Rhinolophus ferrumequinum: one gene and its partners. The main gene of each other region encodes a partner of the protein of the gene in region 2 in a complex. Links are inferred from orthologs where the notes say so. Each region holds a gene or a part of one and is shown on either strand. Other genes may lie near its edges.

What was found. Proteins that work in one complex are often made in the same cells at the same time.
Region 1: CUL7 (region 2) and OBSL1 share a complex: the UniProt entries of both Homo sapiens proteins name them as parts of the 3M complex. The link is inferred for Rhinolophus ferrumequinum from reciprocal best matches to the Homo sapiens genes CUL7 and OBSL1.
Region 3: CUL7 (region 2) and CCDC8 share a complex: the UniProt entries of both Homo sapiens proteins name them as parts of the 3M complex. The link is inferred for Rhinolophus ferrumequinum from reciprocal best matches to the Homo sapiens genes CUL7 and CCDC8.

Annotation. Positions count from the first base shown.
Region 1 is NC_046291.1:15,953,896-15,961,922, reverse strand, and holds the start of OBSL1 (obscurin-like protein 1), read right to left. Parts: upstream 3,049-8,027; 5' UTR 2,513-3,048; coding exon 1,501-2,512; intron 1-1,500. Other genes in the region: INHA (inhibin alpha chain), read left to right, coding at 3,597-3,867, 5,190-6,022. UniProt on the Homo sapiens protein: Core component of the 3M complex, a complex required to regulate microtubule dynamics and genome integrity. It is unclear how the 3M complex regulates microtubules, it could act by controlling the level of a microtubule stabilizer.
Region 2 is NC_046286.1:12,502,915-12,510,636, forward strand, and holds the start of CUL7 (cullin-7), read right to left. Parts: upstream 3,060-7,722; 5' UTR 2,720-3,059; intron 1,849-2,719; 5' UTR 1,841-1,848; coding exon 1,261-1,840; intron 824-1,260; coding exon 672-823; intron 534-671; coding exon 33-533; intron 1-32. Other genes in the region: MRPL2 (39S ribosomal protein L2, mitochondrial), read right to left, coding at 3,487-3,699, 4,060-4,133, 4,448-4,558, 4,635-4,750, 4,864-5,005, 5,721-5,889, 7,012-7,107. UniProt on the Homo sapiens protein: Core component of the 3M and Cul7-RING(FBXW8) complexes, which mediate the ubiquitination and subsequent proteasomal degradation of target proteins. Core component of the 3M complex, a complex required to regulate microtubule dynamics and genome integrity.
Region 3 is NC_046298.1:42,671,281-42,678,791, reverse strand, and holds CCDC8 (coiled-coil domain-containing protein 8), read left to right. Parts: upstream 1-4,463; 5' UTR 4,464-5,279; coding exon 5,280-6,521; 3' UTR 6,522-6,970; downstream 6,971-7,511. UniProt on the Homo sapiens protein: Core component of the 3M complex, a complex required to regulate microtubule dynamics and genome integrity. It is unclear how the 3M complex regulates microtubules, it could act by controlling the level of a microtubule stabilizer.

The DNA.
Region 1 (8,027 bases), on a different chromosome or scaffold from region 2:
TGGAGAGGGGAGAGACCAGAGAAGGCTCTGGAGAGGGCCAGACTAGGAAGACTCCTCCTAGCATCAACTGCCTACACCCACATTAGCTCAGGCCGTTTGCTTTTCTCCTGGCGCACGAAGACATTGTGGAATCATAGAAAAACAAAAACCACCAGAAAGGAACATCAGATGGTCTAAATTCTCATCTGACCCTGACACTCACTAGCCACATCACCTCCAGCAAGGCCATTTTAGTGATCTTGGGCCTCAGTTTCCATACCTGTAAAATGGGGAAAGGGGTAGAAAGGCCTTGGACCACATCAGTGATTTTCAAAATGCTCCCTGTGGTCCCTCAGAGGCACTGCACAAATTCTGCAAGGTTCTGAGTTGCATTTTCTCTTTAAAGTACTTTAAGCATTTATTTTTTGAAAAAAAAAAAAAAAAAAAAAAAAAAAGCATGATGCTGGAAACGACCAGTAGGTTCACCTGGGCTGCTGAGAAGTGCGTTTGTTGTGCAGCTCCGGGAAGGTCTGCCTTGCCACTGGGCTTTTTTCCCCTCTTGATGGAGTTAAGAGTTCAGCCTGCCTGGCCAGTGTATGCATGTCACCATACCCATGAGGCCACCACCATGGCACAGGTGCCACATGCTTGAATGCTTGCCAGGCAGGGCTCAGGAGAGCTGCCAACTTTTTTTCCTCTGCGGGAAAACGTTGGGCAATAACTACGAAAGATATAATCCTGCAGGTTGTGATGAATTCCTATTATGGAGAGCTTTATCCTCCAGGATGAGTTTGGGGTGCTCTCCCCTGTTTTCTGTTTATGAGCATTTATTAGATATTGTTGAGGTGACTCAACTTTGAAATATAAATTTCTTCTCCTTCACCTTCTTCTTGCAAAGCTGGGGAGAGCAGCCTAATGGAAGAATAGTCAAAATTCACAGAGCAGTTTTTATCCCTCAAATTTACCTTTACTATGAATCAAGAGTTTCTCAATGTGACTACTTGCAGCCAGGCCTTCCCACAGACCAGGTGATGAACGCAGCCTTCACTTAAAATGTGTATATTCAATAAAACAGCCTCCTTGTTCTCATTGATTGGCTTTCTAAGTACACGTTATAAATCTGGACTTAGAAATTTACTGCCATAAAATGATCCTTTTCTCTTTCTTATATATTGGGGGCACAGATGGGATTTCTATTGGGGGAGGGGAAGTAAAATAACAAAGGTTGAAAACCACTGGACTAGAAGAGTTCTAGGCTCTTCTCGGTTTGTCCATCAATCACTTCTTAAAGCCTTTAATCAAAGGGAGGTTTCCACCATGAGCCTCAGAATCACTTGGGGAGTTTGCTAAGAAGCTCCTGGGTACCGTGGAGACTTACTAAATCCGAATCCCTGGGGGCGGGAGGCAGGCAGGAAATGGGATTTTGGTACTCCGCTTCCCCTCCCCAAAACGTCTTTAGGGCAGCACTGGGCACCGAAGGGGGCTGGAGTTAGGAGGGCTTGGGAGGAGGTGCCGCCGTACCTTTGACGTGCAGCTGCACAGCGCTGAGCGTCTGGCCCGCCGAGTTGCGCGCGGCGCACACGTAGAGCCCGCGGTCCTTGGCCTGGCAGTAGAGCACCTTAAGCACGAAGCCGCCGTCGCGGTCGCGGTACATCAGACGGCGGCGGTCGGGGAGCAGAGGGCGGCCCTCCCAGTGCCATTCGATCTCAGGCTCCGGCTTGCCCATCACGTAGCAGCGGAACTTGGCGTGCTTGCCCTCGTTCACCCAAAAGGTCTTGGGCGCGCACTTGACCGGCTCCACCACAGGCTTGGGGGCCTCATCGGGGTCCGGGGGCGGGCTCTCGGGAGGCTGCTGCACCTGGAGCAGCGCGCCCGCCTGCGCGTGGCCGTGGGCATTGCGGGCGTGGCACACGTAGACGCCAGAGTCGGGCAGCCGCGCCGCCAGGATGCGTAGAGCCAGGCTCGCGCCCCTGCCGTCCTCGGCGCGGCCCGGCTCCAGCGCGAAGTGGCTGCTGTCCCACACTTCGTCCAGCGCCATCCCATCCTTCTCCCAGTACAGCGTGGGCACGGGGAGGCCCCCCACCTGGCACGTCAGCATCACCTCCGCTCCCCGCAACACCCACTGCGACCGGGGCCCCGAGAGGAACACCGGGGCGCCCTCCCCAGTCCCGGGCGGCGGCAGCGGGCGCTCGGCGGGCTGGGGCTCCGGCTCGGGGGCCGGCGGCTCCAGCACGGTGACGGCGGCCGCAGCGTAGGCCTCCCCCGCCGCGTTGCGGGCGCGGCACACGTAGACCCCCGCGTCGGTGGGCAGCGCGACGCTCAGCAGCAGGCAGTGCTCGGCGCCGTCGGCCGGGAAGCTGAGGCGCTCCGAGGCCGCCAGCTGCTGCCCGCCCTTCTCCCACACGACAATGGGCGGTGGTTCCCCCAGGACGACGCACTTGAGCTCAGCTTCCGCGCCACTTACCACCCGCACGGGCCGCGGGAAGCGCAGGAAGCACGGGGGGCTCCCCTGATCGCCCGATCCCGCCTTCATCGCGGCGGCCGCAAACGACCCGCAGCTGCGCCGGGGAAGGGCGGGCGGCGGGCGCGCGGAGGCCTGGAGCCCGGGAGGCGGGGCGCGTCTGGGGACCCGGCCTGGGGATCCGGGGAGCTCTCCCTCTGGCTGCCCGCTCCCGGGTCGCCTCCTTACCGTCGACCCGGAGGGGCAGCTCTGCGGCGGCGGCGGCGATTCCTGGGCCCGGAGCCCAGAGCTCAGGGGGCAGTCCTTCCTGTTTGCCTTTACAGCGAGGGGCCCCGCGGCCTCCTCTGCCCGCGGCCTGGCTTCCTGCTCCTGAAAGCCTCTCTTCCCAGCCCCCTCCCACAGCCTGGGCCTCTTTCCCCTCCTCCCTACCACCTCCAGCCGCCAGGTCCCCAACCTCCCGCCAGGCTAGGGCCTGAGTGGCAGAGGCGCCTGCAGCTGCCAATCCCAAAAATATTCTCTGATGACACAGCTGGAAGACAAGAGCCCAGACTGGCTCCTCCAGGCTAAGTTTAGAGCAGGCGGGACCACCTGCCCCCCGCACTAACCCCAGTTCTAGCTCCAGCCTCAGCCCTTCCCCCCATGACTGGCCCAGCAGCTGTTTGTCTGAAAGGGGCCCCAGAAGGTCTGAGGGGCTGGTGTGTTTTGTCACCTTAGCAAATAACACTTTTAAGAGCTGGCAGGCCACAGCTCCCAGCCTCCTGTTCCACCTGATGTCACTTCTGTGCTGGGTGCTGGGATGTGACTGTGTGTGTGTGTGTGTGTGTGTGTGTGTGTGTGTGTAGGGGGAAGGGGTTGTATGTGAGAGGTCACTTGGGGTGAAAAACCCTCACCAGCCCCCTCCCCCACATTCCTGGCGGGAGTGGGAGATAAGGCTCAGGGTCACAGACATCTGCGTCAGAGATAGGAGGCCTCAATGCCACGGCAGGGGCAACTTGGACTGCAGGGTGTGGGAAGGCCTGGGGAAGACTGGGATGAGAAGGGTAGAAGAAGGCAGGTGGTGGGATGGGGAAGGGAGAGTGGGGGAGGTCCCGGGCAGACCCTGACAGAGGGGCACAGGGCAGGCTGTGGGTTCGCCATTGTCAGGGGCAGGTGAGCTATGTTGCCCCGGCTGCCACTGCTACTCCTCTTGCTGGTGGCCCCACAGCGGGGGCATAGCTGCCATGGGCCGGAGGTGGACCGGGAACTTGTCTTGGCAAAAGTGAGGGCCCTGTTCCTGGATGCCTTGGGGTCCCCAGCAGTGACTCGTGAAAGTAGAGATCTTGGAGTCAGGCGTTTGCCCCGAAGACATGCTGTGGGGGGCTCCATGCGCAGGGGCTCTGAGCCCGAGGAGGAGGATGTCTCCCAGGCCATCCTTTTCCCGGCCACAGGTAATGAGGATGGGGAACTGGTGACTTTGAGAAGCAGTGTGGGACAGCATGGGCTTGGAAGGCAGGCAGATCTGGGTTTGAATCCCAGACCTGCTATTCAACTGGCTTTGCAACAATGGGCCAATGACTGAACCTACCTGAGCCGCTGTTTCCTCATCTATAAAATGGGCAATAATGTCTATCGCTCAGGATTTCGGGAGATGCTGCACTTAGAGTGCATGGCTCATATGAGGTAGCTGGGAGATATTCTCCTGGGAGGCTAAGGGTCTCTGGAGTCAGCGATATCTGGGCGTGGTCTCTTCCTGCCACTTTCCTCCTATTTCTGCCCCTGCTCCCTGTTCTGGTCCTTTCTTTAGCCCCAAGTAGCTGAGACTTGAGAAATAACAGAGATGCAGGAGAGAGATTTGTTGGGAAACTTTTCTGGGAAACTAGTCTACCTTCTCTTGAGTTCCTTTCTCACCTCCCCATGTTCCACTGACTCAATGAGAAAAGGCCTCCTCTGGCTGGACTTTCTTGTAATCTGGCCCACCTTTCTCTTAGAGAGGACCCCTGCCTCCCTGTGCTTCAGTCCCCCTGCTGCACAGTAAGTAAGTGTGGCTTTGGGATCAGGTGGAATCCCGGCATGGACACTTCGTAGTTCAATGTCACTTCACCTTTCTAACCCTCAGTTTCCTTATCTACAAAATGGGTCGCTCGTTGTGAAGTTATCCATGAGATAATCCATGTAGCAGTATAGCCCCAATTGCCAGACCTTCACCTGGTGCTGATCCATGATTGTTTAGTGTAGTTTGTATACCTGTCAGGGTAAGGATGCCAACTGCACTTTCTTAGAAAGCACTGTCCTTTATTCTCAGCTATGTCTTTTCTCCTCCTCCTTTTTGGTGTTAACCTATCTTATTAAAGTGGAGTTATTTAAAAATTTTGTAATATACTATTACTGACATGTAAAAAGATATGAAGAGTAATCCTACAAATGCCTGCCTACGTGCCATTCAAGGTGCCCTTTCACACTTTAAGATGAACAAAAAATTTAAGTATAACTAACGATTCCAAGTGTTGGTGAAGATAGAGTGTCAGGGCTTCTTACACATTGCTGATGGGTATATTAATTGGTAAAACCACTCGAGAGAAGTTGGCAATGTCTTGTACTTTTTAAGTCCTTTTGTGATGAAATAACAAAAGAGGAGCCTCTGTCAGTTCTCCCAAGACTGGGGGGAGTCCTGAGTCTGGCAGAGCACTCAGTGGAGTTTTGGCAGGCTCGTGAATGGCAGCTGCGTCTCTCCAGTCACGGCTGCCCTCTCCCTTCCCTCTGTCTCCTGCAGGTGCCAGCTGTGAGGACCAGCCAGCGGCGGGAGAGCTGGCCCAGGAGGCTGAGGAGGGCCTCTTCACATACATGTTCCGGCCATCCCATCACACACGCAGTCGCCAGGTGACTTCCGCCCAGCTATGGTTTCACATGGGACTGGACAGGCAGGGCACAGCAGCCTCCAATAGCTCTGGGCCCCTGCTAGACCTTCTGGCTCTGTCATCTGGGGGTCCCATAGCGGTGCCTGTGTCATTGGGCCAGGCACCTCCTAGCTGGGCTGTGCTAAACCTGGCTGCCTCTGCCCTCCCTCTGCTGACCCAACCTGTCCTGGTACTACTGCTGCGCTGTCCTCTCTGTTCCTGCTCAGCCAAGCCTGAGACCACACCCTTCCTGGTGGCCCACACACGGGCTAAGCCGCCTAGCAGAAGGGAACGAGCCCGACGCTCGGCTCCCCCGCTGCCCGGGCCTTGGTCTCCCGCCGCGCTGCGCCTGCTGCAGAGGCCTCCAGAGGAGCCCGCTGCCCATGCCCACTGCCACCGGGCGGCCCTCAACATCTCCTTCCAGGAGCTGGGCTGGGAACAGTGGATCGTGCACCCTCCCAGTTTCATCTTCCACTATTGTCACGGTGGCTGTGGGCCACCCACCCAACCAGACGGGCCTCTCCCGCTCCCTGGGGTTCCCCCTACCCCTGTCCAGCTCCTTTCTCTGGTGCCAGGGGCCCAGCCCTGCTGTGCTGCTCTCCCGGGAACCATGAGGTCCCTCCGTGTCCGCACCACCTCGGATGGAGGCTACTCTTTCAAGTATGAGACGGTGCCCAACCTTCTCACGCAGCACTGTGCTTGCATCTAAGGGAGTCCTGCTGGTGGCCGAGCCCCTACCAGCACATGCTGGGAGGAAGAACAGAATTTGGAAAATAGATGTTTCCCATTTCCCCCCTTCTTCCACTTGTCTGTCTGAGGGCTCCCCTCCCCCTCTTACCCCTGTCCCATAAGCAGTGTGACAATAAACAACCCAGTGCATATGACTTGGCATGCGTCCTCGGCTTCTCTGATATGGCGGTGGTGGGTGGTGGAGGGGAGGACCTGGCCCCAGGAGCATGGGACTGCGGAATCTTTGGGCACTCAGCCTCACTTGACCTCAGAGATCTGGGGTTTGAGATATAGCTGGAGGGGGCAGCCGGATGGCTCAACTGGTTAGAGCGCGAGCTCTGAACAACAGAGTTGCTGGTTCGATTCCCACATGGGCTGGTGGGCTGCGCCCTCCACAACTAGATTGAAGGACAACGACTTGGAGCTGGTGGGCCCTGGAGAAACACGCTGTTCCCCAATATTCCCCAATAAAATTAAAAGCAAAAGAAGACAAAAACAAACTGGACTCACTATTTTAAAAAATAAAAAATAAATAAAAGAGCTGGAATTGGATGCATATCTGGTGGAAAGCTACAATGCTTGGTGACGCAAAGGTGCTGCTAGCTCCTGACAGCCACTCTGGAGACAGAACTGGCCCTCATGCCAGCTGGACCTGATATGTCAATCAGGGTGCCTGCCCTGCTACACCTAAAGGCAACTGCTGTACTTATAGTGCCTACACAGAAGCCCCTCCCCTGCCATTCTATGCCTTAGCTGATGGATACCTAGCTCAAGGTCAGGTGATTCTTAGACCGGCCAGAGATCATGGCTTAGGGTCCCACTGAGACAGATGTTCAGAGCTGATCAGATCTTGGGTGTCTCAGGAACTTGGGTGGCATGTAAAGGAGAGATGGTGTGAGTTGGCAGTATCTGAAAGTTGACAACTGCAGAGATGAGACAGAAGAACGAAGACCTGAGGATTTTAATTTGCTGAGGGCCTGGGACTCCCTCAAACCTATCATGTAGCCCTTCCTGAAGCCTGGTTGTGCTGCAATCTGGGTTCTTGAAGTCTTTGGCTCCTTTGATGTGCCCTGTGTGTCTTTAGATAACCCCTTGACTCAGTCCTTAACGTTGGAAGCATGGAAAGGCAGAGCCTACTGGCGAAAAAAGTGTGCTCTTGGGTGAATCTGTGTCCACACTTTGTGTACACGCGGAGTGCACGGCAGGGTGCAAGGAACCTTTTCCCGTTGGGTCTCCTATCAGTCCATTCTGCCTGCCTTGATTGGCCATTGGGAGCCCCGCTTCCTGAGCCTTCCTTCCTCCTTTTTTCACTCTCCTCCTTCTCCCTCAGTCGTGTGATCCTGCTGTCCTGCCCCAGGTCCTGGCTCTCAGGTAGGTGTGACGCGGAAGGTTGGGGATGTTTAGGTCCCTCAGATGGAAATTCAAGAGCGTTTTCTGATACTGACTGCACCACTGCAGTGTGTATTTCTGCTAACAGAGTGACTCATCAAAGACTCCCTCCTACTAACCCAGCTCATGGGGTGGGCAGGTAAGCACCTCCCCAGGAAGGAGATGTGGAGGGGAGAGAATCCCATCTGGGCATCCTATAGGCTCACACCTTCCCTTGCCTGAGCTGAGCTGAGTGAGCTACTGTTCCCTGCAGCACAAGAGCCCATGGCCACGTCCATGCCGTAGCCCCAGTCTCCGTTGATGCTAAATCCCCAAGGAGGCTTCTGCGGCTCTGGAGGGGGACTTGCCTCTCACAGTTCCAAGTCTCTGCCAGCACCTTCATTAGACCCAGTGTGGCAGCCCCTCAGATGGTAGTCTGGGGAGAGGGCTGCGGGGTCGGCCAGTGCTGGGAATGGATGTTTCCCTCAAGCCTGCCCGAATGCCGCTCTGTCCTGTGGCTTCCTTCCCTTGTCAGGTCCTCCCTGCCCGAGTGGGGCCTTTCCCTGGGATCTTTAATCCTCCTACCAGGCTTAGGATTCTCCTTCTTCCTGCTGGGG
Region 2 (7,722 bases):
TAAGAGTGTCCCACCACCACGCACTGGCTCACCTGCACTGGGGGCACGCCGTTGTTGCTCTGCCGGAACTCGCCCTCGTCCCCGGCACTGATCTCCTCGAAGTCATCGAGCATGCGCACTCGCATGCCAGGCTGCAGCGTATCCCGGACATACAAGGCATAGGTGTTGCCACTTGCGAACTCAGGGCGAGGGCGAAACCGCCTTGACCTCCTGAAGGAGGGCAGGGCCTGGGCGGGTGGCAGCCCTGGGCCTGCATCTGCCGCCTGGGGCTGGAAGATGGAGCAGGAGGACTGAGCCGAGGGCCCTTGTCTGCTTGAGGCCCAGTCCCAGCGCATGGCCTGCACCAGCTCTGAGATCAGGGTGCCCATGGCCATGCTGAACTCCAGCTCCAGCCGACCCCTCTCCCCACTCAGCTCCTCAGCAGCAGAGCTGTTCTGGGCTCCTAGTTCTGCAGCACTGTCATTCAGCTGATCCAGGAGGGAGGTGACATGCAAATAGCGCTTTACCAGGGAGAAGAGCAGCCTTCCTGGGACCTGCAGGACACAACCTTTGGCCAATGTCCATTGTGTCCCAGGTTTAGCCCCTCTCTCCACACCATCCTCTATGGACAAGAGGAAAGATCTGGTCCCCAGATCTTCATAGCCCCACCCCCAATGCCCCCAACAGAATACCTGTGGCAGCTGAATGCCCTCGAAAGACATGGGATGTTCAGAGAGTGTGGCCTGTGCAAACAGAGCCAGCAGAGCACAGCGGCTGTCAAAATCCAGGTGTTTCTCAATGGCCTCTTGCTGGCTCAGTGACAGAAGGATCTGGGTCCGGGTGCCTGTAACCCACACCCCAATCAGTAACTGCTCCCTAATCCCAGGCATCTCTCTTAGATCCCCTACTCTCTCAGTTCAATTATTTGGTCACGACACACTAGGAATGACATGATTTACTTGAAAAGCCAAACCTTACTATCTTTTTCATATAAGTGAACGAATATATATACATATATATGTGTATATATATACACAGTGCAGTAGTGTAAAGTCTAAACTTTTTCTTTGCATAGAAAGTCAATTACAATGAGGTTTTTGGAGACTGAGTCTTTCCTCTTTCTGCAGAGATGACCACACCGACTTTCCCACCTCCTTTTCTTCCAATGCTAAAAAGGCAGCAGAATCATTTACGGACTGATGAGATCAGAGGCTCCTGCTGCAGCAAGGCCTGAGCCCACACCGCCCCTTTCCAGCTCCCCGCCCTCCCCACACTGCTCACCAGCATCATGGGAGGCCAGGGCTTGTATCATCCGGCCTGCACTCCATCGAATCTGATAATCGGGACTACTTAACATATGCATAAGCAAGTCCAGGACCCTTGGGTCTTTGAAGACCCCAGTGAGGGGCTCGATGCTGGCATAGGCGCTGAGCACATGGACAGTGTGAAGCAGAGGAGCCGGAGGGATGGTACCCACACACTCCTCTAGCTGCCGAAGGGCCCTCTGAATCAGGGACTTCACATCAGTTTCCATCTCCCCCAGCACAGATTTGTCCAGGGTCCCAGCTTCCCCTGCAGTCTCCTGGGAAGGCCTGATAACCTGGCCATCCTCGCCCAGCATCTTGTGGCAGTTGGCATAGATCTCATCGTTGGACATCCAGAGCAGGATGTGTTCAGCCTTGCAGTCCACCTGGCTGGAGCCCCCTTCCCCGTCCTCCCCGCGCCTGAGAATGAGCCAGCGGATCTGGTACTCAGGATGCCCATCGTGGCCCACCCGCTGTCGGACCAGCTCATCGGGATAGGCGTGCAAGCCAGGCCCCAGGGGCACTCTGAATTCCCTGTAGCGGAGTTCCCCCACCATCCTGGCACCTAGGACACATGGGGAAAAGAGAACAGGCAAGCTAGAGTGAGAAGGGAGGTCAGAAAATCAAGGACGTCCAGGAGTGGAGAAGCAAATGTGGCACCAGCTATTGGGCTGGGTGGGGTTAAAGCAGGGCCCAGGAGTTGCCTGCTGCAGGCTGGGTGGGGCCAGGCCTAAGCAGAGGAACACTGGGGTGTTTGTTCTGAGAGAACACAAAATTTGGGGGCTAAAAGGAAGGTCCAAGGCCCTGCAGCCTGAAGTGGGTTGGTTTGGAGCAGTGGGAAGGGGACAGTGAGGGCAGAGGAGCCTTGGAGTAACAAGCAAATCCCTGGGATGGGACAGCAGCCCTGGGCAGGGGGTATGAGCAGCCCAGAGCCGGTGGTGTGTTGAGGGGAGCAAAAGAGCGATACCCGGGTGTGTATGGGAAGGGGTACAAGCCCCAATGCATGAAGCGCTGGGGGAAGAGGAGTGTGAGTCTCAGAGGAAAGAGACCCAGAGAAGTGGTAGTGGAGTGAGGGCTCAAGAAGGCGCGATGGCCTGGGAGGGACCGATGGGCTGCAGGGGCTGATGACTGAAAGCACTGGGGCAGCAAGGCCGGCGGGGGCGACGCGAGGCCTGGGACAGGGTGGGTAGGAGACCCGATAGGTGAGGGGCGCGAGGCCTGGTGGACCCGGGTCGCGGACCCAAGAAGTCGGGGTGGGAGGTACGGGAGTGGGGACGCGGCAAGGGTGGGATGGGTGGCTGAACCGGATAAATGAGAATCCCGAGGCACAGTGGAATGCGGGGACGCAAGGTCGGCTGTGGAGCGAGGCTTGGTGGGCTAGTGGGTGGAGGAAAACCCAGGGTAGGAGCAGGGGGCCGCGGCGGGGCTCTGGCCACCTTAGAAGTCGATGGGGGTCCTGGCGCGAGGCCTGTCCTTCGCTGAGCTAGGGACGGAGCGCAGACGATGGCGGCGAAGCTTGCGGAGATTTGGGCCCCGCCTGGGCCCCGGAAGGGGGTCCAGGAGAAGAGGCGGGAGGGGGCGTGCCTCTGCAGCACTGGCAGGCGGGTAGGGGGCAAGACGGGCAGGAGGCGTGGCCCGCAGGGACCAGGCGCCCGGGGGCCGGGCCACTGACAGAGCCAGCGCGCAGGTGGCGGTCGCAGGGGCAGGGGAGGGCGGGGCTGCTCCCAGCCCGCGGCGCCGCCCGCCCAGCTCTAGAGGCTCCGATGCCGGTCCAGAGCCGCGGCTCTTTTCCGCCGGACCCAGCGGAAAGCTAGGGGCCCTGGGGGGAGCACCGGGGCGGAGCCGCGGGTGCCACCTCGGCGATGCGCGGCACCTCCTCCGCGCCTCCCTTTCCTCTTCCTTTTCGTCCTCCCTCCTGCCACCGGAAGTGCTTTCCCTGTTTCCCAAGTCAGAACTGGAAAAGAGTTTGGAGGTCATGTATTCCACCCTCCTCCATTACTTATAAAAGAACCGAGAGAAGGTGGGCAGCGGGAAATGGGGGGGGGGGTTTTGCAGCCCTAGTCTTGGTCCCAATTTGCCCTTTCCTTTTTTCCTAACCCCACATTTGTTTGCTCCTGTTTCCCCGGATCCAGTATGTACTGTCTCCCCTCCCCAAAAAACAGTAACAGATAAAAATGGGGGGTCATTTTATTAGTCAGTTTTATCAGCGTTGGGCAGCAGCTGAGGGCAGCTTCACGTAACTCTTCATGGGGGGCAGGGGCCGAATCTTTCGGCCAGCCCAACCCCCCTTGCGTTGCCATAACCCGCTGGAAGGCCTCTTGCCCAGCCAGCGGTTGCGCCCAGCCTTGCCGATGACCCGTTTGTTGTGCTCAACGTTGGATACGCGGCCGACTGTTGCTACACACGTTTCCAGCACCTGACAGAGAAAGCAGATGGAGGAGAATGCACCGTTGGGGGAAGAGCCTGACAATATTGAGGGCAGGCTCTTGGGAGGGTTCTTACAGTCAATGAGAGAAGGGAGAGGGCAGGAGAAAAGCACAACATAATCGAAGCCGAAGTCAGGGCCTACAAGAGTTGAAAATGAAAGACACCGTTTCCTACTCTGTTATGGTGCCAGCCTGATGAGGCATGCCTTGTGGCGCAGCAGGAAAGGACAGACCCAGCCTGGGGGCAGTTCCTAATACAAAACACCTGGGAGCTATCCCAGCCAGCCATGAAAGGTACATTCCGAAAATTCCTCCGTCCCACTTGTACCTTCCACCCCCCACACACACACCTGCATCTGCCTCTTGGAGGGCAGCTGGATGATGGCTGTCCCATTCACCTTCCGTAGCAGTACACCACATGTCCCTGGGGAAGGGAGAAGCTGCAGCTTTGCCATCCACAACAAAGGAGGAGGTGGGGAGCAGATTTACAGGAGGCCACACCCCACATACTACCCTTGCTTTGCCCTTTAGTAGCAGATACATTGAAGCGGGATACATGCAATGTTTTAGGTCAAAACACAAGCTCCTCTTCATTCTCATTTTCCTTGTTTTTTGTTTTTTTTTCCCTTTTTCTCTGCCACTGGACCAGATGTGGGCCCATGGGTTCAGAGAACTGTGACCTCAGGTAACCTCTAGCCTTCCAAGTTGTAAGACTCAAAGCAGCTCCTTTCCTCCTACCTGCCGCACGAATATACTGGGCCCCACGGCCTGGCTCACTCTCCACGTTGTTGATGAGGGTCCCCACGGGCAAGGCCCCAAGAGGATGTGCATCCCCTTCCCGAGGAGCAACTAAAAGACAGAATTTTATCAGCACCAGAACACCTGCAGTCTCCCAGCCCACACACATGTGGCGGCCATCTCTCACCTGCCATTCGGCCTATGTGGTCAGAGTTCAGGATTATATCTCCAGCCTGCATGTTTTCTGTGGCAATGATCCAGCGTTTCCGGCTGCCCCCAGCAACCAGAGCTATGTCTGCTGACCTGTTCAGGGTGATAGACAGGTGAACAGACAATCTAAGGCAGCCCCACATCTTTGGAAAAGCTACAAAGCAATCATTCAGCCATGCCATCATCATCCCACACCCCACACTTGCCTACAGGGATCATAGCGGACAACGATGACCTTCTCCTCAAAGGGTCCTGGCTTGGTTTCCTGCTCAGGCCGGAACCGAAGAAAGTCAATCATGCGATAACGTTGCTTGTGGCCCCCGCCAATACCATGCACCTGGATTCGGCCTGTGGTCAGGACAGTGAGGGTACATGATCCAGGTCAGCCGAACAGGCCTGTCCTGGGTAGAGAGCAGTTTCCCAACATTATGACACAAGCAGAAAATGATAAAATTTGCTAGCACAATGGGGTAAACGGGGATGGGGAAACACTTACATGGACCTTGATAAAAACATAATTGTATGATTATTGAAACAGCGTTAGATTTCCAGATAAATTCTCTACAAATTACTGAATTCAGTAAGTTTACTGAGGGCCGTGTAAATAGTGCTCAATTTCAACTATTAAAAATTTTTGAAGGATAGGAAGAAAAACGTTGGGGCGGCCAGTTAGCTCAGTTGCTTAGAGTGCAGTGCTTTTAACAAGGTTGCCAGTTCGATCCCCACATGGGCCACTGTGAGCTGTGCCCTCCACAATGAGACTGAAACAACTATTTGACTTAGAGCTGATGGGTCCTGGAAAAACACACTTACATAAAAGTTAAAAAAAAAAAAATGTCATGAAACTTACTGTGTATGTCCAGTTTTCTCCAATTCCTAGATTGTCTTTAGGAGAACAGATCACTTGTCTGTTGCTTTGTATTCTACTCTCTCGCACTTACACACACACTACATGCAGAAGGAGCATTTTGATTACATTCCTCTGCCTGTATCAATATCCAGGCCTAGGGTCCTACCATGTTTTTTCCTTTCACTGCTTAAATCCTCTTGCCCTTGCTCCTACCTGTGTGGTCTCGGCCCCCAGACTTCCTCATCTTCACTGGTGTAATGGTGTACTTGGTACGACTCTTCCAGGACACAAACTTGGCACTAAGGGCCACAGAGGTAAGGATGGGGCGGCAGGGGAGCAATATCGAGGCAGAGGGCAGCTGAAGGAGGACATTGTTTGTCACCTAGAGATAAACAGAAATCTTTCATGTGAAAGCTAATTGGAGGAGAAGCATCAGAGAGCCAAGGGAGAGGGCAGAGACCATAGTTGGGTTGTAGCCTACTCACTTCCTCTGAAGCGTTCCAGACCAGCTGTCCAAAAACTCCACCCTTCACAGCTTGCACAAATACCAGTGTGGAATGTTTATCCGGATATGTATGTGTTGATTACCTCTTCTCATTTGATCCTTTCACCTCTGATGTATTTCTTCAATGGGATGTTCTCCCCTGGTGCCATCTACTAAATCTGTCTCAAACCTCCCATTCTCCTGGAAACTTCTCGTTCCTTAAAGAACTTCCTTTTCCAAAGCTGGTAACTTCCACACATCCAAGTACCACCATCAGCACTAAAGCCTTTTGCCCATTTGCATTGTGTTTCTGGGAGTTTTTCAGATATGAAGGGAGGGAAGGAATCATTTCTATCTTGTTCCCTGCTGTATTCCCAGAATTTCAGAGTAGGTTTTGAATTTTAAGTGTGCTTCTGCCAAACTTTTTATCAGCCTGAGAGATCCAGAGAAGCAAGACTTACAATTTCTTTTCTGTGACTCACCAATCACCCACTAGGGATCTTGTGATACGTTCACTTCAGGCTCCTCCTATTCTTGGTATCTTGCCCTGCATTCTCTAATCTCAGCATCCCTAATGGTTATAATGGTTAAGAGCTCCAGCTTTGAAGCCAGGCTGCCTAGCTCCAATAGTTGTTGTGTGACCTTGGACTGCTTATCAGTTTTCTCATATGCAGAAGGGAATGATAATAACTACCTTATAGAGTGGTTGAAAAGAGTTCAGTTGTTTAAAACCTCTATTACTTATGCCTGCCTTATGATAGGTACCCAATAAATGTCAATTATTACTGAAACCTGTACAACCGGTGGTCTGTAAAGCACTTTCACGTCCAGTATCTAATCTGCGGGATCCAGCAGCCCTGTGAAAGCAACACTCACAGGGAAAGCTGAGGTTAAGAGTGACTATCCAAGGTCACGGGCCAGCATGACTCCTGACCAGACTCGCATACCCGCCTATCTGCAGTTGTCCCCTCTCCGGCGGCCCGCACGGAAGCAACCTCATTCCCGGGTAAAGTGGATTACCTGGGCACCCGGGAGCAGGCTTGGGCCGGGGGCAGCGGCGGCAGGGGGCGCCAGGCTCAGGGAGGCCAGAGAGCGGGTCAGTGCCCGCAGGGCCATGGGGGTGAGTGGTTACGCCGTGTTCAACACGCCACCATTGCCTTTAGGTAAGCAGCCTGACGCCCCAGGATGACGCTAACGACTCCTGGTTCCGTCGCTCCCATCTGACGTAAAAGCAGGCGGGAGGAGAACCCGAGAGCAAGCTGGATACACACCTCCTTCCCTCCCTGCGCGTTGTCAGAGCCAATCCTTCGGCGGCTCTTAGGTCGCGTGACTGGGGCACAGGCCCCGCCTCTTGGAGCCGTCAAAACAATTGCCTCGAGCGGAGGCCATGATGGATTTAAAGGGGCAGTACCGGCAGGGCGGCAGCCAGACCGACAGACGACGGGTGAGTCTTGAGAGTTCCTCTGAGGCTGAGGGTTGACGTCCCGCTACCTCTTATTCCCGCAATCTCAGACAGATGAACATACCCCTCTGACCAACCTCACACAACTCCAGACTCAAAAACTCCACCCCCCGCGATTCTTCCCGCCCCTCGGCGTCCAGACAGACAGACAGTCGCCTGCCCCGCCCCCTGCGCTACCAACTGATTCAGTGACCTCCGGATCGTCGGGCCATTGGGTCCTCGCCGGTGACGCCGACCTCGGTCGTCCACCTGTGCTTTTCCCCGTCGTC
Region 3 (7,511 bases), on a different chromosome or scaffold from region 2:
AAATGTGTGTCTAGCTCCCTCCATGTGCAGACATTCTCCACGTGCTGACAAAAGGCTGTTTTGGAACCTGGGATGCCAGATGACAAACCAGTGAACACATTAAAGTAATGCCCCTCAGGGGATATTACCTAACTTGAGCCCTGGCATCAGGGCACAGGATAAAGAGGGTGTCATTGCTGCTTCCTGCTGTATTTGTTGAGGACCTACTATGTGCTATCATTTAACCCTTTGGTATCTGGTTCACAGGTGTGGATAAATTATATCCTGTTTATCGTAGACAGGGACCTGATTTCCGGACGTTCAAGATGGAGGACAAATCTGGTGACTGTGCCAAGGTTACAAGTGTCATCTGGGAGAGAAGTCTTTCGGGATTTCTCACCAATCTTATTCCCCACCTCAAATCTGCCAGGCAACTGGGCAAATAATGGAGGCTTAAGAGCGTCGGGGTTGACCAATATCACCCCGACAAATTAAAAAAAAAAAGAGTGTGGCGGTTGGAATCTAAGGAACCTGAGTGAGTCAGAGCTCAGCTCTGCCACTTCCTAGCTGTATGGCCTTCTTTGGCTTCAGTTTTTCTCATCTGGAAAATGGGAATAACACTTGCATAGGAGAGGTTCTGAGGATTAAAAGAGAAAACACACAGGGCCAGGGACAAAGTGGGTGCTCAATAAAACAGAATAATAATCAGTATTATCACTTTCCCACCTTGTGGGCATATGTGATGGAAAACTGAGATGGATATGCATATACTGATATGAAAGACTTCAAGACATGCTATTAAGTGCAAAAAAAGCAAGTTTTATAGTAATAGATCTAGCATCATTCATTCATTCATCAAATATTTTGAGCACCTGTTAGGACTGTTCTAGATACTGAGAATTCAGTAGTGAACAAACCAGGTAACTATCTCTGCCTTTATGGGACTAATGTTCTAATAGGGTGAGACAATAAATAAATAAGAAAATACCAGGCAGTGGTACGCGCTGTGATGAAAACAATTTAGGATGATGTGAAAAACCCCCCATGGGGTAAATTCTAAAATTACACATACGCTAAAGTAAGCATTTTTTTCCCCCTGGAAAAGTACAGAGATATTTAACTGCGATCACTTTGGGGGAGAGGCTGGAGGCTTGGGGCTGGGGCTGGGTTGCTTTTCATTTTACACCTCTCTGTAACTCCAGCATTTTCTTAGCATGTGTGTGTGTGTCACTTTTAATATTACTATTGTTATTTTTAACGGCAACCAAGTGAAACTGGGTAGAGAGATTTGGGCCATATTTTGTTTTCTCCCCCTATTTTCTGATTTTTCATTTCTTTTAAATAAATATAAAAGTGGAAGCTATAATTATCCTTTTGTGTGTGTGGGGGGGGAGGGGGGTGGCTGGAGAAGGATCTTGCCTGCCAGAGACCTGGGCAAGTTAAAACACCCACAGTGAATTGCTCAGAGGTTGGCAATTTCTGTAAGAATGTTGAACATATGAGGTTTTCATTTCTAGGATAACCCTCCCTTCCTTCCAACCAAAGACAGAAACAGCCCAAATGTCTCAACTTCGAGGTCATTATTTTGACTTCTCAGATTTGGGATTTTCAGCTTTGGGCCTCTACGAAGCACATTCTAAGAGAAGGTGACTTGGGGCATCAGACTTAAGGAAGGGATAAGAAGCGGGAAAGAGGCGCTGCCCTGCCCCCACCCCTTCCCCCCCTCCCCGGCCCGCCCCACTCTACCCTCTCAGAGCCAACCCGCGCTTTGGAACGCGTCTCCTCGTTGCCATGGAGACCGCTGGGAGGCTGGGCGAGAAACGGAGCAAAAGGGAGGAGCTGGGTGGCGCGAGGCCCGGCTTGGGCAGAGGCCTCGGATGGGGCTGGCGAGGAGGAGCAGAAAATCCAGCAAAGCAAAGCCAACCGAGTGAGCCAACAATTGTGCAAAGGCCTCGCTAAGACCCTGACCTCCCTCCATTCCCCAAGCGTCTTCCTTCCTCTTTCCCTTCCCTTCCTTTAATCGCCCCCTTTCCTCTTTTTCTAAACATCTGCCTGGTTCCTTCAGGAGTTAAATAAAACCACATATCTTGAGTTAAATAAAATTACACGTATTCATTTTTGTTGTATCTCCTCGCTCGCGGGCGGTGAAAGAATTCACAAGTCAGATAGAAATATAGATTTATTAAAGTAAGAGGAGGGTCGCGTCAGCTGGAAACTACTGCAAACTACTGCATTGAGTCCTTGTTTGGTCTCAAGTTTTGTATTTACTAACCAGGCTGTAAATTGTTTCGGTCTGTAATTGGGGGTGGGGGAAGGTGCTGTAAAGTTGGTTATGGCAACCTTTCCATACGTTATGTAGATTTAAGTTGGAGCCAGAAGAGTGGATCCCATACAGATGAAAAACTTCCCAAGTCACAGGGCCTGCACTGGGCCGAAGTAAATAGAAACAAAAGAGAATCGTTAAGAGGCAAAGAAAAGAAAGCTTTCAAAACTTCTCAAGCTAAATTGCCCTTATTAATTTGAATTACACCGGAGGTCCAAATCTCAAAAATAGAAGATTTAGTGTCCCCTGTCTTAACAATTTTTATACTTTGTATTAAAGTCATTATTTTACAGGCTTCTTTACTTTTTTTTTTTGACTGTTGGAATTTTTCTTTTGACAGCTGTATTTCATTATAATTGGTTTCCTTTGTAATCCAATGGATGCAAATCTATGCTTTGAAACACTTTATGCTGGAAAGGGACCATGGCATGGTTAAGGATTCCTAAGCTATAGGGCCCTGGAGAGGGTTGGGGAGGGGGGAGACAGAATCACTTCTCTAAAAAACGTGCCATTTGAGCAGAGGGAGATTGCCAGAGAAGGTGGGAGCAGAGCATTCTGGGTGGAGGGAACAGCAAGTGCAAAGGCCCTGAGGTTGGGGGCAAACATTGTTGGAGGAACAGTGAAAAAGCAGCAGGTGTGGTTGGAGTGGAATAGAGAGAGGGACGTGGGGAGAACTGATAGGGCTTCGTGGGCTGAGGTGAGGACTTAGATTTTACTCCTAGGTAAGGATTTTAGAAAGAGTACAGATAGATCTGACTTACGTTTTTAAAAGATCCCTCCAGCTGCCAGTTGGGGATGGATTGCAGGCTGCAAAGGGAAAGCAGGCCGCCCAGTGAAGAGGTGTTTTTTGTGGATCCAGGCAAGCGATAAAGATCAGCTGTGTCTTCCGAGCCTGCCTGGATGGTTACTCCAGTGCCTAAGTTCAAATATCAGCCCCTCTACTTACAGCTGTGCAACTTCAGACCAGACTCAGTGTCCCCATTTGTAAGAAGATGATAGTGAAGGCATGCACCTTACCCTATAGCTTTTGAGCATTCATAACAACAGGCTATTCAGGGTACCTGGTTCCAAGGAAACCTTTTGTGCAAGTTAACAATTATTATTACTAATGCCATTGTTATTATTGTGCATATTGGTGCTGACATGGCTGCCTCAGTAGTACCTGGGGAGCTTTGCAAATCCTGGCCCCTGAATCCCAGGAAACCACTATGTCTGTGGCCGAGTTTGAGGCCCTTTGGTTTAATTTCATTTGTTTTAATTAACATTTTGGATTGCCAAAAAGCCATGCAATCCAAAAGGATATACAGTGAAAAGGACACATCTCTGCCACATGTTGGAGTCCCCAGTCCCCCTCCTCAGAAACAGCTACGGTTGGCAGAGCTTGTACATGTGCTGAGTACATGTATACACACACACACACACACACACACACACACACACACACACACACCAGGTCAGGCTGTTTCAGATTCAAATCCAGATTCAATCATTTCCTTGCTGTGTGACTTTTATTTTCTCAGCTACAAAATGGGAATGATTGTATTACCTGTCTCATAATGTTATGGTGAAGATTTCATGAGTTGATTCATAGAAAGCACTTACAGTGGTGCCTACGCACATAGGAAGTGCTCTATAAAAGTTAACTATCCTTTTTTCATAGCTGCTCAGTGTTTCACTGTAAGAATAGACCATAAAATTAAGTCAGTCCCTGCCGAACAATTAGGTTCATTCATTCACTTCACTCAAAAATATTTGTTGAGCACCTACTGTGTGCCAAGCCCCACTGGTACAGCTGGTGAATTAAGATCCTGGTACCACTTTTCCCACCCCTATTTATGGGTATATAGGGAGGAATTGCTGGTACCAGAAGTCACATAAATTTAGAATGGTACTATACGGTGTCAGTGGCTTTCCAAAGGACGGCCCCATTAGCACACCCACCTCTGGGCGTGGCTGGAACCCGCACATTTAGGATGGTAGGTTTGGGAATTGCTGCCTTATTCGGAGAAGGTGCTGACGTGGGCCTCGGCGCGCTTTCAGCTTGGAGGCGGTGGCCCCAGCCAGGCCCGGGGCGCGGCCACACCCCCGTGAGGGAGGGGAGTGAGGGCGACCCAAAAGGAGTGGACAGCCCCGCTGTCAGTCTTCTCGAGTCTGGGAGTGTAAAATGAGAAGGGGAAAGGTGGGCCTCACCCTGGGGGAGGACGAGAAGGAACTTCCCTCCCTGGAGCTCCACAGCAGCGCGCGCGCGGGCAGGGAGGCGGGAGGCGCGTCAAGGTCAGCCTGGACGGGGGTGGCAGCCTGCCGAGGGGCGGGAGACCCTCCGGAGGGGCTGGGCTGCTCCTCCTAGCGCCTCGGCCATATTGAATAGCCGCGGCTGAGCTGTCTTTGTCTGCGAAGTCCTCTCCCAAGTTCCAGGCGCGTCCCTCGTGCCTGGGGCAGGAAGAGCCCGGGTCAGCCCGTGCGCCCCAACTTGGAGCTGGGACACCACTTTTGGAGCTTGCTGTGGGCTTTGAGCCTCAGGACTGACCTCACCCCGGCTCACGTAAGCATCCTGGCAATTGATTTCCACCAGTCCTTAAGAGGGGACTCTGCCTTGATCCAGAGAGGACTTGTTGCAAGCAGAGAAATTGGGAGGTGTTGGCTCATCTTCGGCTGGGGAGGTGAGACTCTCCGGGCAGTGCTGCTGGGACCTCCCACCTCCACTTCGACCCCCAAGACTAGGGGCTTCGTGTAGTTTGGGCTTGTTGCTCCCACCCCAGATTTCACCCTGGAGATCTTAAAGACCCTCGAGAAAAGCCACGTGGGGGGCTGGTTCCCCTGGGGCTTCCTCCCGTCGCCCGACTGCCTGATCCTCTGGAGCGTCCCCGACGTCTGCAAAGATGTGGATTTGGACGTCCTCGTGGAAGCCTTGAAGCCTGTGGGAACCTTTAAGAAGATCGGCAAGGTGTTCCGCAGGGAGGAGGACTCCACGGTGGGGATGCTGCAGATTGGGGAGGACGTAGACTATTTGCTCATCCCCCGGGAGGTCAGGCTGGCTGGGGGCGTCTGGAGGGTCATCTCCAAGCCTGCCACCAAGGAGGCGGAATTTCGGGAGCGGCTGACCCAATTTTTGGAGGAAGAAGGCCGCACCCTGGAGGACGTGGCCCGCATCATTGAGAAGAGCACCCCTCACCCGCCCCAGCCCCCCAAAAAACCCAAGGAGCCCCGAGTGAGGAGGAGAGTCCAGCAGATGGTGACCCCTCCTCCCCGGCTGGTTGTGGGCACTTATGACAGCAGCAACGCCAGCGATAGCGAGTTCAGCGACTTCGAGACCTCCAGAGAGAAGAGTAACAAGGGCCACAAAGGCTCAGGGCGTGGCAGGAAGGTACGCAAAATGCCCGTAAGTTACCTGGGCAGCAAATTCCTGGGGAGCGACCTGGAGAGCGAGGATGACGAGGAACTGGTGGAGGCCTTTCTTCGCCGTGGGGAGAAGAAACCCAGTGCGCCGCCGGCCCGCCGCCGCGTGAACCTGCCGGTCCCCATGTTTGAGGACAACCCGGGGCCCCAGCCATCTAAGGCGGACAGGTGGCGAGAGTATGTTAGCCAGGTTTCCTGGGGGAAGCTGAAGCAGAGGGTGAAGGGTTGGACCCCGAGGTCCAGCCCAGGAGTAGGCGAGGCCCAGCAGGCCTCTACCAGGGTGGAGAGAGATGGGGTGCCAGGAAGTGCCAGCTGGGGGGATAATATGGGGAATGCAGGAGATGGGCCAGAGCCTGAGGCCCCTCCAAGACGATGGAGGCCCAAGATCAACTGGGCCTCATTTAGGAGGCACAGGACGGTGGAAGCAGCATCTGCAGTTCAGGGGACAGAGGCTGCAGGTAATCAGAGAGAAGAGGCTGCAGATGACCAGAGGGCAGAGGCCATAGCTGACCCGGGGGCAGAGGCTGCACATAATGAGAGGGCAGAGGCCCCGGCTGTCCAGGAAGCTGAAGCCTTAGCTGCCTCGGGGGCCACAGGAGCCACCCCAGGAGTTAGGGCCCGAAAACAGGTGAAGACAGTGAGGTTCCAGACCCCTGGGCGCTTCTCGTGGTTTCGCAAGCGCCGGAGAGCCTTTTGGCACACTCCCCGGGTGCCAACCCTGCCCAAGAGAGTCCCCAGGGCAGCCGAAGCCAGGAGCCTCAGGGTGCTGAGGGCCGAGGCCAGAGCAGAAGCAGAGCAGGGCGAACAAGAGGACCTGCTGTGAGGTGCTGGCAGGGAAGCCAGAGCACCCGCCGCCACCCACTAACTTATTGGCCACTCAGGACGCATCCCTCCCTCTCCTGCCCTTGGACGGAGATGATCTTTCTGCCTCCACACCTGAAATGGGAGGTCGAGTGAAGGCCAGGCAGTGCCCCTCACCTGTCTACCTAGCACCCCTTTTCATGTTAAAATTTTATCTGTCATGCATTGATTTTTAAAAGTCTTTCTAGTAACCCAAGGAATGTAAAGAAGGAAATCTGTACAATGGGGTTGTGTTAATTTCCTCAAAAGCAACTCCAGGTGCTCAGCTTGAAAAAGGGAGCGAGGGCAGGGAGAAATGCCTCTCTTCCCCTTTCTCATCTCCCTTTCTCCTGCACACTTCACATTGACTGCCTCCTTGAATTTACAAAGAGGGCACAAGCCAACATGCAAATAAAAATGTTTACAAACTTATTTCTTGGCTTTGGACTTGGCAGCGGAAGAATGCTCCAGGGTGATTCTGTCACGTCCTTGTGTCCCCTCCATGACCTGTGTTTATGTCAGTTTGCTTGCCATCCCCACACCCTTGGGTTCTGCCAGGTCCGAGGGTCCAGGGCCTGCAGTTTATACACTTCATACGTTTTACAAGGGACAAAAGAATCATCTGGAAAATGTGTCTAAATGCAGAGTCTGGGACCCTTCATGCCAGAGCTGTGAGTAGCACTGGCTGTGCCCCACCATCAGGGGCAGCTTGGCCACTGGACACAGTGAAAAATCATTGCAATAGGAACAGGCCAAAAGGGGGATTGTGGTGTAGTAATGTGGAGTGGGTTGTGACTGGTTCTTACAATCGGGGAGAAATCGGGTTGCTAAGGCCCTGTGGGAGCTGGAGAACATCTCCGCATTGTTTGTGTCCCCACCCCACCCCCACCAGTGACAAAACAGATAGCAAACGACCACACCCCAACCTCACTGGAGGCCGGAGAAAAGGGAATTGTGGAGGAGGGGCTCTGAA